Cricetulus griseus: one gene and its partners. The protein of the gene in region 3 interacts with the protein of the main gene of each other region in a biochemical or structural test. Links are inferred from orthologs where the notes say so. Each region holds a gene or a part of one and is shown on either strand. Other genes may lie near its edges.

Region 1 (3,646 bases), on a different chromosome or scaffold from region 3:
ATTGAATACAATACTGAAAAAATGAGTCATTTGTATTTATCAAAATCTGTTATTTGTGGTTCTATTCTGTTTTCTCACATTGCCTATGTTCTTTAAAGTAAACCAGAAATATATAATCATTACAAACTACTAAATACTTACACTTCAGGTGCCAACCTAACCAAAGTGGTTTAATTTTCTATTGTATTTTTTCTCAGTTGGGGTTATTGAACCTTGTGTATGCTAGGTAAGCATTATAATTCTAAGACCATATTAAAAGGTTTCAAGCCAACTATAGTATACTTATAATAGAAAACATTCATTTGATGGAAAAAGGGATAGGTACCAAAAATATCCAGTAATTCTGATACATAAAAGTATCAGACCTTAAGTAGCTTTTTAAATGGTCAAGAACTTGAACTTGACAAGAAAATATTTTCCTTCTGTGTGTAAGGAAAGGGAGGCTGACTCATTTAGGTGAGGGGTCATCCAGAGGAAGACTGAAAAGGTCTAAGCATGGAGGAAAGAAACAGGGATAACACAGTCCAGTTGTCATCCAATGAAAATGAGAGACTTAGAGTATGTTAGGCTCTGTGAAAGATCAGAGGTCACAGACAATGACCCTGTTACAGCACCACATATCCAAAATTAGGTATGCACGCTCACGTGTAACAATTCTTTCAAGATATCAAACAAGAGTATCTGGGGGTTTATTGAGCTTTAAGTACACCCACTTAGCACAGAGAAGAATCACATTTCATTTACAAAGCAAGAAATATCAACCAATTTGAAAATAGCTGTGATAACACCAGCTAAAATCTGCTGCCAAGTATCTGGTAACTTAAAAGAAAAATGACCTCTTACCTCTTTCAGTTTATTGTGAGAGAGATGCAGTTTCTCTACTCTTGACCACACGTGTGGCTTTTCACTCAAGTCCAAGGTGCTGATGTGGTTATGGCTAAAGAAGAGCTCCCTTAAGTTCAGAGACTTCCAGTGTGCAGGCCCTGGCAGACACTGGATGTTGTTGTGGCTCATGTCCAAGGACCGCAAGCTGGAATGACATGGTGTCCCTTTGTAAGCAAAGTGGAGGTACTCATAGGACACAAAGTAACGTCCCCAAGAATTTTACCAGACTGAGAGTTAGAAAATGATTTTAAAGCTACACCACCAACATATAAGCATGAACTTGAGCTTGTATTTCATACAGTGCTTAAAAGAAAATGCATTTTTCTCTAGAGTGGAGGTATAAGTGAATAAGGATTATGTAGTACGAATAATAAAAAACCAAGAGACAGATATTGAGGTTCAAGCTGAAGATCAGAAAATCAAAGCAGCTAAGCCACTAGAGAGTTCTTACCTCTACCAAGATAGGCGATCCTGTCCTCAACATGACTGGAGACTGAATCCTACATTAGACCATGAGATCCTGTCTTATGTTCCTCTCTAGTGCTGGGATTAAAGGTGTGTGCCACCACTGCCTGGCTTCTATGGTTGTGGTTAGCCATTCTAATCTTCAGCAAGCTTTATTAGATCATAAGCAATATATGACCACAGGATTCTTAGAAACAAAGTTGGTTACTTTGTCTGATTTGACGAAAATGTGGTAGCAACGTGATCGTAAGAATGGATTTTGGGTAGCTTTGCCAAAAAGAAAAAAAAATACTTGCAGAGACAAATATATTAACCCTTGAATATCACATGATATTCATTCATTCATCAAAGCATCATATGGTACCCATATTTACAATTTATATATGTTCGTTAAAGCTCGTTTTTGAAGAAAGGAAAAATTGAGGTCCAATTTCCCTTTAGACCATACAACTATCTCTCTCAAAATGAGGAAAAGATACGTGTTTCACAAATGCTCATGGGGCATGAGAAATTATGACTAACAAGTATACAAATGGTCATTGAGATCCTGTCTCCTCTCAGGGTTTATAATTGTGCATTCCCCGATAGCCTTCTAGGGATGGCTTTCACTCATCATTGAGTGGTTTCTACAGGGCTGCTCCAGGTTAATCACTAGAGCTGTGGGTATGCCCTTCTACCAGCTAGTCTCAGTGAATATGAGACAAAGTTAGGATAAGTCTGCCATGCAACCTGCTTGCTCTCATTAATCAGTGCTTCTCAGTTTTCAGAAAACCTTACTTCTCATGAGTACATGTGTGTGGAGATAATAAAGATGGTCAGCAAATAGGGTGGGCTTTCATACACACACTGATCCCTCCCACTCAGTGTATTGAAGCTTAATAAATTAATCTTCAGCTAACACAGCAGCAACATCTCCTTAACAAGAGTTTGTATTTTTTTAAAAAAGTGTTGTGTTCTTCTTTAAAATGTACTATATATTGTTCTAGTTACCATAGAAATGTTCATGAAAATTGAAAGAAGAATCTGGCTATGTTAGAGATTACATATATCAGTCTAACTGGAAATGCATTTCAGACAAGCAAGAAATACTATGATCTCCCAAAGTAGTATTTCTTTGGCTCCAACCAGGACTCTAGCTTGTCCAAACAAGAGAAGATTTAAAACAGGAGCACAAAGGTGGAGATGTGTGCCTGCAGATGGTGTTGAAGACATCAGGAGCTGGTTTACACGTTTACTCCTCTGAGAAGACATCATCTTGATGCCACTTTGTTTCCTAGTAAATGATCTTACATAATTGGCCTTTATATATTTTCAGAAATATGTTTAAAACATAAGACCATGTTTATTTAATTGAAGCCAATATCTAAGAATTGGGAGTGTGAAGTTGAGGCCACCAACACAGATGAATTATGACTTTGGGAAGATACTTAATCTCTCTAGTGAAATTTAAAAATGGAAATGACAGCAGAAGTTACCTAATAAGATGATTAGGAAGACCAAAGAGGAGGTTCATGTAGCACAATTAAAACACAGAGTAGGGTTTTGAAAAGTTAGATTTACGCTAATGAGTTTATGTTTATCTGGCATAGCTCTGTGGTTGCTATTTGCCTATGATGTTCATAAATCTATGATTGTTTTATAATCCATGAATAAACTAGTTCTTAAAATGACAACATACTAGGAACTGAATTAATGCTGAAGTTTGGGTCTTCAATGAAATTAACAAGTCCCCAAACCCCAGCCACTTGACCCTGTCCAGATGTGGAACTATATATATTCTCCAAATATTCACAGAAAATGTCACTGAAGTGAATGAAATTTCAAGGTTCAGGCAACAAATAAACCCCTGTGAGCAGCTAAAACCTGAAAGAAACTAACATTCATCTGACAAACATTCATCCCATGTCATCTTATTTAGATATAGGACGCTGCAGTTAATTATTCTTGTTTTTCCTACACAAAGCATGTGTAAGTTACTGCAAAGGTTGAAGAGATGGATCTTTTCTCTAGTAAAAATCAAACCCTCATATAAAAAATAAAACACTGAAGTAGGTTTATAAATGCATGATATATGTGCTCATTTCAAATCATTGCTTTACTTCTAAAAGTTATGCCACAACTCATTCAGCTTCAGAAGTAAATAACAATGAACTTACTGCGGAAGAATGAAAATTGCTTCTGGAATGCATGTGAAACCATTTTGAGATAATTTTAGGCTTGTTATGGAAAAAGGTAAGGCAGGCATCGCAGCTAAGGAAATAAAACAATATAATGGATGTTTACAATCATCTTAACT
Region 2 (4,360 bases), on a different chromosome or scaffold from region 3:
ATGAAGCCCCTCACCCCAAGCCTTGTGTTCCAGGGTGGACCTACTGTGTGCAGGACAGAACTCTGGCCATTCTGTATCTCCCAGACCTTGAGTAAAGGATGTCCAGGCAGATGAATGCTTAGACTGCCTGCTGTTCTGTGAGCACAGTAGTCCTGCTTCTGACCCCAAGTCTCATGCCACCTTAACTCAGCAGTGAGTAGCTACAGTAGGAGCCTAGACTCTGCCAGGGACCTATTTCAGTCATTTTGTTCTTATAGAACTTGGGTTAATTAAATTACAGATTTTTAAAATTCTTTTCTACTTTTGAGATTTTTTAATGTAGATATGTAAACACTATGGTTAAGAGAAAGAAAAGTATTCAGAAAGAAAGACATGACCGAGAGAGTGGTATGGATTCCTCAGAGGAGAGACCCCTTTTTGTTTGTTTGTTTATTTTGTCTGTTTTTGTTGTTGTTATATTGTGCACAGAACTGTTTTGACAATATAAAAATCAGTTATGAGTTTTTGCTTGTTTCTTGTGGTTTTTCGAGACAGGCCTGTGTGGCCCTGGCTGTCCTGGAACTCGCCCTGTAGACCAGGCTGACCTCGAACTCACAGAGATCCGCCTGCCTCTGCCTCCCGAGTGCTGGGATTAAAGGTGTGCGCCACCATGCCCAGCCAGTTATGGGTTTTCAGAAGGCAAGGCCAGGTTCCCAAACAGACAACTACCAAAAGGATCCATTTGCTAGCTCAAGTCAGGCAACAGAAATCATTCAAAGGAAGAATGCAAAGAGCCCCTTATTCAAGGCTGGGGGTGTGGCTCAGAGTAGAGAATGTGTGTGGAACCAGGGCCCTGGGATTGATCTTCAGCATTGCAGAAATGACCCCAAACCCTCAGTTCACACTCAACTGAAGACTTTTAGTTAATTTCATAGTACAGGTATTTCTAGAAGTTTTCTCTTTTTAAGTAAATCTGTATTTATTTTCATCTCTGTGCATGAGTGCTTGTCTGTGCCTATGCGTGCTGGTGCCCTTGGAGGCCAGCAGGGGGCGTCAGACTCTCCGGATATCTGGTGGTTGTGAGTCACACTGTGCCGGTGCGTGGAACTGACCTGGTCTTCTGGAAGGGCAGCCCATGCTCCGAACCTCTCAGCCATCTCTCCAGCCCGCATGGTTTTCTAAGACCATATTATATGCAGTGGTTATACTAGCCTCAACTGATGGCCACTGGAGTGACCTCAGCTCCTTGTGACTCTGGCAGGCTGAAAAACCTTTCAGGGGTATGAGCAAAGTCAGCGGGCTTTCCCTGGCCCTGTTACTTCCTGGGAGATCTTAGCAGGAAATGCATCACCTCAGGTCCTGGCCAAATGGCTTGCGGGACAACAGGTTCTCCTTCCATATCCTCCTCTCTCTCAGTTCCTAGTCCTTAGCATATCTTCTCATCTCCCAGCTGGGACTGCTTGACATTCTATACCCCAGTGAAAATCTAAAAATTGTCATTCTGGACCAGAGTATCCCTTCATGCCTTCACTGAGCTCCTGGGTCCCCCAGGCAGTTGTGGGAGTAGGAATGGGTGGGGCAGGATGCAGGGGTTGGGTGGGTGGAGCCAAGACCCACTTCCTTTCCCCCTGGGGCTCAGTCTGTCCCAGTCCCGACCAAGCCTCAGGAGGAGCTGGAGGTGCTCACCCTGGCCCTGCGCCATGTCCATTAAGCTGGTAAGACTAGATATAATAGAGGTGTGGGGTTGGGGGCTCAGAGGATGATGGGATGTTTCTATAGTTTGAAAAGATGGGTAGGGTGATGGGCAAAGGGGGTCAAGAGCCACTGACTGGAACAGAATGAGTGACGGCCAGGAGGACATGGCTGCTGCTGGAATCAGTTGCCAGGGCCAGGGTGGGGAGTCACTGCCACCATCTGTCCCCTTGCTGCTTCTGATAATCGTAAAAGCAAGAATGGAAAAAAAAAAAGAAATTCAGAAACCGTTAAACCACAAGCTGGGCTCGGCAGTTGGCAGGGAAGTGGCAGAAGGAGGGGGCTGGCCAGGTTTCCCTCCCCAACCCCTGTGTGTTCGGTAACTTCCCTACATTCAGGTCCTAGCTCCTGCTCTGAAGATGACCCTGCTTCTCCTCCTCTTCGGGGGCTTCTGGATCCAGGTGACGAGCAGCAACCTAGATCTGCAGAACACAACGACGCTGACACCTGCTACCCCACATAACAAGGCCCCAGACATCTCTGAGGCCTTGAGTGTCAGCCAAACAATCTCTACTAGGACAGACACAGTGGACCCTGCAGAGACTGCCAGCATCGGGAGTCACATCACACCCCCACCCTCCTCAACCCCCTTTGGAACTCCTGAATTGTCTTCTCTTGGGGTTCCCGTTGGTGCTAGCATGAGCATCCCTGTACCTGAGCCTACAACCTCCCAGGAAGTTTCCAACAAGACATCAGTGAAGCCTCCAGAATCAACAGATGTTCCCAGTGACCCTCCTGACACAATAGCCAATCCTGTGACAGACGGAACTGTGACATTTACCTCTCTAGAAAACTCTAAAGGGACCAGTGCACACCCTGTCGCCATGACAACAAGCACCAGTGAGACCAGTGGATCCTCTGTGACTACAACAGTAAGCTTCAAGACCAGTGGTCCCCCTGTCACCATGACTACTGGGTCTCTGGGTCTCTCCAGTGAGACTCATGGACTCCCTGCCACCATAGCAACCAGTTCTGTGGAGAGCTCTAGTGTAGCGGGTGGCACCCCCGTTTCTGGCATAAAAATATCCATGATGTCTACCCCAGAGCCAATAACCACCAGGACGCCACGCCAGCGATCAAGCGGCATGTTACTAGTGCCCATGCTTGTGGCCTTGCTGGTAGTTTTGGCTCTGGTTGCGCTATTGCTGTTGTGGCGCCGGCGGCAGAAGCGGAGGACCGGGGCCCTGACCCTGAGCAGAGGCGTAAAACGCAATGGGGTAGTGGATGCCTGGGCTGGGCCAGCCCGGGTTCCTGATGAAGAGGCTGCAACAGCAACAGCGTCATCAGGGCCAGGGGGCAACAAGGGCTCTGGAGCTCTGGAAAAAGAGGGGTCCGGCCAGCGGCCCACCCTCACCACTTTCTTTAGCAGACGGAAATCTCGCCAGGGCTCTTTAGTACTGGAGGAGCTGAAGTCTGGGCCAGGTCCCGACCTAAAGGGGGAGGAGGAGCCGCTGGTGGGCAGTGAGGATGAGGCTGTGGAAACCTCCACTTCTGATGGGCTTCTTAGAAGCTAAAGATGGGGCTACACCTCAAAGCCTATGAGCAACAGGAGATCCTCATCCGACCCTGCTCCTTAACCCTGGATCCTGCTCCTAGCATCCTCCTAGCATCCTCACACTCTACACTTGTGAATATTTGTGAGCCATATGCACTCATTCATTCATTCATCCCCCCCACCCCCCAGCCCTTCCTCCATGCTCCCTTTGGAATCAGTTTCCATGAGAATAATCTTAGTTGACCTACAATTTCTCCAAGGATCCACCTTGGGATGCTGGGGTCTGACAAGAAGAATGAAGCAACAAACCAGCAAACTTCCGACAATGAAACTTTGTGAAGTACATGGCACCCCCCTCCCATAGGGCCCCTTCAGGACTCCCATTGCTCAGGGGTCAGCTTAGAGCCTGGATGGGGCCATCCAGCTTGCTCTTGGGTGAACTGTGACCTGTGACTTTTCCCAGAGCACTCTGGCTCTGGGCTGGCTGACAGCTGCTGGTTGAGGCTGCCAGAGATCGGCTACTTCTCCTTGGGGCAGAGATGAGACTTTCTGGTTCCAAGAAGCCCAGGCACCTGCTGTGTCCATTCAGAGGTGTGGTTTGTGTGCAAGATGTGACCCTTAGGTGATGGCTGTGAACAGTACTGGTGAGTAGAGATGGTGGGAGAGAGCAGGGCAGGGACTGGCAAAGTGAGGGACACAGGAACGACTGGGAACACCGGTGCCTTCATCTTGCTCAGACAGGACAGGAACAGCTGAAAACCTTAATCTGTGTGCAGCCTCCAAAAGAATGCAAACTCGATGGGGACTAAGCTGCCAGACCCTCCCTTCAAAGGCGCCCTTACACCAACACCCATCCACCCACCCGTGCATACATGCTAGAAGAGGAGAGGTGACAGCCCAGCGTGGCGACTGGGTGCTGCCAAACCCTCTGGCCTTGATGCCTTTCCCCTACAGGCTCGGTTTGTCTGCTTCCTCTTCCATTCCAGGGCTGAAGTCCTTCCCTTTTCTAAGAAAGAGGGAGTTAGATGAGAATATAGGCCCAGGGGCGGGAACATGGGTGCTAGGGGCTCTCTGAGGGTCTGAGGTAGAGAGGACAGGCCCCAGTTGTGCTGCTTCTGACCCACTGTAGCCTTT
Region 3 (4,120 bases):
GACGGACGTTCAAGCCTAGCCTGGTACACGTGAGACTTTGCTTTATAAAACCAATCAAGCAAATAGATAAATTATAACACAATAAATCATAAAGCTCGAAATAAAAACTCAAAACCCTAAAAATTTACAATCTCATTCAGGTTGTGGTGATACACCCCTTTAAGTCCAGCACTCGGGAGGCAGAGGCAGGGGGATCTCTGTGAGTTCAAGGCCAGCCTGGTCTACAGGGAGGGTTCCCGGACAGGCTCCAAAACTACAAAAAAATCACAATCTCTTTTTAGGGAATCCAAGAGTTTCCAAAGTTTTTGAGTTTTTTTTGTTTTTTGTTTTTTCTTAAGTTAAAGATGGGTGTGAAAGGGAAAGGCCTTCTCAAAAAAAAGTCTGTTTATTTTATGTACATGAGCGTTTTGACCACATGTATGTATGTGCACCACATTTGTGCCTAATGCCCAAGAGGCCAGAAGAGGGAGTCAGACTCCTGGATCTGGAGTTACACACAGTTCTAAGCTGCCATGTGGGTGCTGAGACCTGAACCTGAAAGAGCAGTGTGAGCTCTTACCTGTTAAGCCACCTCGCCAGTCTTAGGAAAGACATTTTCATTTAGAATTGTCGTCTCTCCAGAAGGCTAGACAGGCTGGTCATATTGTAAAAGCCTATGATCCTAGCATCCCAAGGGCTGAGTCAAGATTGCAAGAGTTGGAGGCCAGCCTGTGCTACAAGGTAGGAGGACCTTGCTTCAAGAAACATCAAAGACCAGACTAAGGAAAGTAGCAACCAGAAAACAGTCCAAGAAAGACTTATTTCAACAGATTTAAAGCAGTCTGGCCCGGCTAGAAAAAAATTGGTTATAACAGTAAAACTGACCATGGCTAATACAAATGAAGGCATTTGATTTTACACTACCATTCTGGATCTTTCACAGTTTAGAAATGGTTAAGTACACAACAGAGAAGGAGTGGAAGCCGAGTGTGATGGTGGCTCAAACCTGCAATCCGTGCACTTGGCAGGATGAAGTAGAACGACTTCCAAGAGTTTTTAAGACTGCCTCAGGCTACAAAGAGAGTTCTAGACCAGCCTGTGCTAGGATAAGACCCTCTACCGAAAAAAAAGCAAGCCAGGTGTGGTGGCTGTCAAGCCTATAAACTCAGCATTGCTAAGACGGAGGCAGGGAGATTGGCAAAAATTCAGGACCTATCTGCATTACATGGTGAGTCCCAGGCCAGCCTAAGTTAAAAGCCCAGCAGCAGGATACATGTGATTTAAAAACAGAAGGGCAGACTGAGGGGAGGAAAGAGACCTGCTAGAAGTCCTGGGGTGAAGGAGACAACAGGAGGGCAATGGAGGAGGCGAACCAAGTATAATTTCACACACACACACACACACACACACACACACACACACACACACACACACTCATAAAGTACAATTTTACGTAAGACCATGAGACTCTGTCTCAAAAAATTAAGAAATAATAAAAAAAACTTTGTGTTCTTTAAGGACAAGAGTTCTGAGAAGGCAAGGCCGGCTCAGTAGTGAGGCTGGAATACAGTATGGTGGGAACTAAACCTCAGTATAGACACAAAGACCTCTCAATATCTATCCAGTCTCCTCTCCTCCCAGGGGCCCTCATCCCTTCCTAAGCATCCTAGTCACTATCTCAGCTCCACCAGGTTCAGGCAATCCTAGGGAGATGGATGGGCTAGGAACATACAACATAGGAGCCCAGCAAGCTCCTTCACCTAAGAGACTCAAGCCACGGTGGACATCGGGCCTTCTTGAACAAGGACCTGGCGTGACTTGCACAAAAGCAAGCAGAGCTCATTAGTCAAGCACACACCCCTCCCCCACCCCTCCCTACTGGGCATCCGGCCCCCCTAGGCCTCACTCCCTGGAGGCTTCTGCTCTTCTAGCAACAGCCAGTGGGGTGGAGTCCAGATCTCTAATCAACCACTACACTAGATAGGTGTGGCCCCCACAGGAGAAAACCCATACCTCACAGAATAGTCCTAAGGGGATAGAGAGGCACTGTGTCTATCAGGGATTTCGTAGAGGAAGAGAAACCTGCCCTCTCTTCCAGTAGGTTGAGTGGGCCCCTCCACAGACTCGTGCCTAGTGAAGTGTTTGCACCCCTGGGTAACAGGAAGTAGCCTAGTTGTTGAGTCCCATCTACATCCCCCTCATCTCCCAGGGGAAAGCAGTTTGAACTGAGGAGCGGTCTAAGGGGGCAGAGCAGGAGTAGGGGAGAAGGGCGGACGGCTATGGGAAAGGTGGATGGGCGTGCGGGATCCGCCCTGAGCAACTTCCTCTCTCCTCCCTGCTTCTCGGTTACCATGGGGCTCTTCTGGGACAGTGATAGCCTTGCTCCAGAAAGGCGCCAATTCCTGGGCCGGGACAATGTTCTCAGAAGTAGAGTCCTCTTCCCAGTGCCCAATAACCCTGAGTTTCCACTGCCTCATCCCAGAGGCGGGGAACTGGACCCTGAGAAAGGCTGGCCCCTCCTTATCCACACTTCTAGTCCGGACACCCCCTCACCCTCTAGAACACTCAAACCAGGACCCCACTATCCTCTCCTTCTTAGGGCCTTGAGGGACAGCCCGGCATCCCCGGCAGGCCTGTGACCAGGCAAGCCCACAGCCATGGGACTGCAAGGGTCAAACTGGAGCCCTCGGGACCGACAGCCCCTGTCCCCAGCACTCACCGTCTTCGGCATGGTGGCGGCAAAGGCGGAGGAGTTGGTGAAGTTTGGCTAGAAACTGTCGGGCTGTTCTGAGCGCGCGGTACACTTCGGCAAGGACTTGGGAGAGCCGGTTGCTCAGATTGGGTCCCACTCTAGAGTTGGGCGACTGCTCCGCTTCCTGCTAACGGGCCACGACTTTACAAACCCCACCCAGGAAAGAGCCGCCCTCGTTGCGCCGCTCGCTCCTTTATGTGGCCGGGCTTCCGCGCCTCTCCCCGCCCTCCCACCCGCCTGCCCGCCGCTTTGGGCATCGCCCCGCCCAGCCCGGCCCAGCCCAGTGCAGCCACTCCGGCCACGTGGGGGTCCAGGCTGGGGCCCAAACACACCAAGGACTCCCACTCCCCATCCAGACCCACTCTGCCCTCTCCCACCTTTCTCACTGTCCTTAGCCCTTCAAGTTTCGACCCTCAGACTCCGCCCCCAGACTGAGCCAGAGCTTTAGTGGGGGGCCACACCCTAGCAGATGCTTATGCAGTCCTTGACTGTGAGTTAACCACTGTTGGGGAACCCGTTGCCCATGAGAGCTGCCCTATACCCTCTCTAGGCATCCTTGCTGATTAGAAAATTCCCCCTGGGTACTTTTGAACTCTTTTGCTCTGTGACTTCCAACTATGTTTCATCTAAGCTCCCTGGGAACACAGCAAATCCTCTGTTGTCCATAGCAGCTCCCCAGAGTTCTGCTACTCCTCAGGAAACTTCTCTGGACTAAGTTGCCTCAGCTCTTCCTAAACACTTCATTCCCATCTATAGGGCTCGTATCACCTGTCACATTTCCTCTACATTATTTGGGCCTCGTGATCTTCAGATTCGAAATCTTTTCCAAACATCTGTCTTCTAAATTCCCTTTCTTTCCTCGTATTCCCAGTCTCAACTCTACTCAGACCAGTAAGTACCCTGGTCCTTTCTTTAGCCCCACCCTGGCACATTAAGGGTTTTTGATTATTTTTTTGGTTTGGAGCTGGCCTGAAACATATTATGTAGTTTAGGTTAGTCTTGAATTCAGTCCTACTATGTTACTTTAGGTTAGTCTGGAACTAATAATCCTACTGTGTCTACTGACTTTCACGTGTGTGCCTCCATTTCTATGCATTCGTTTTTTAACACGCGGTAGTATCAGTAGTCCATTGACTTGGACTCGTCATCCTTCTGCTTCTGCCACCCTGGTGCTGGGATTACAGGTGTGTGCCCCAACACCAGATTTGAATTCACTTTTTGATAAGGGTATAAGTCTCTGAGATGAGATATACCCTCTTGTTCTGGCAACTGAGCAGGAGCATGGATTGCGTGTCTTTTGTGAGGTAAAGTACTATATGCCTCAATGATTGGGACTCAACTACAGAGTTGTGGCAAGGGCATTTGGAAGGGGGCAACCACAGCACCCAC

Evidence for each region.
Region 1: of the proteins of Msn (region 3) and Lrrk2, one has a biochemical effect on the other in vitro, tested with the Homo sapiens proteins (9 studies listed by IntAct). The link is inferred for Cricetulus griseus from reciprocal best matches to the Homo sapiens genes MSN and LRRK2.
Region 2: the proteins of Msn (region 3) and Spn form a complex in vitro, tested with the Homo sapiens proteins (2 studies listed by BioGRID). The link is inferred for Cricetulus griseus from reciprocal best matches to the Homo sapiens genes MSN and SPN.

What each region holds. Positions count from the first base shown.
Region 1 is NC_048595.1:388,266,297-388,269,942, reverse strand, and holds part of Lrrk2 (leucine-rich repeat serine/threonine-protein kinase 2), read right to left. Parts: intron 3,601-3,646; coding exon 3,507-3,600; intron 1,031-3,506; coding exon 844-1,030; intron 1-843. UniProt on the Homo sapiens protein: Serine/threonine-protein kinase which phosphorylates a broad range of proteins involved in multiple processes such as neuronal plasticity, innate immunity, autophagy, and vesicle trafficking.
Region 2 is NC_048596.1:73,613,817-73,618,176, forward strand, and holds the start of Spn (leukosialin), read left to right. Parts: upstream 1-1,539; 5' UTR 1,540-1,562; coding exon 1,563-1,694; intron 1,695-2,069; coding exon 2,070-3,245; 3' UTR 3,246-3,247; coding exon of another isoform or gene 3,248-3,368; 3' UTR 3,369-4,360. Other genes in the region: Qprt (nicotinate-nucleotide pyrophosphorylase [carboxylating]), read left to right, coding at 3,248-3,368. UniProt on the Homo sapiens protein: Predominant cell surface sialoprotein of leukocytes which regulates multiple T-cell functions, including T-cell activation, proliferation, differentiation, trafficking and migration.
Region 3 is NC_048604.1:74,065,349-74,069,468, forward strand, and holds the start of Msn (moesin), read right to left. Parts: upstream 2,915-4,120; 5' UTR 2,711-2,914; coding exon 2,699-2,710; intron 1-2,698. UniProt on the Homo sapiens protein: Ezrin-radixin-moesin (ERM) family protein that connects the actin cytoskeleton to the plasma membrane and thereby regulates the structure and function of specific domains of the cell cortex.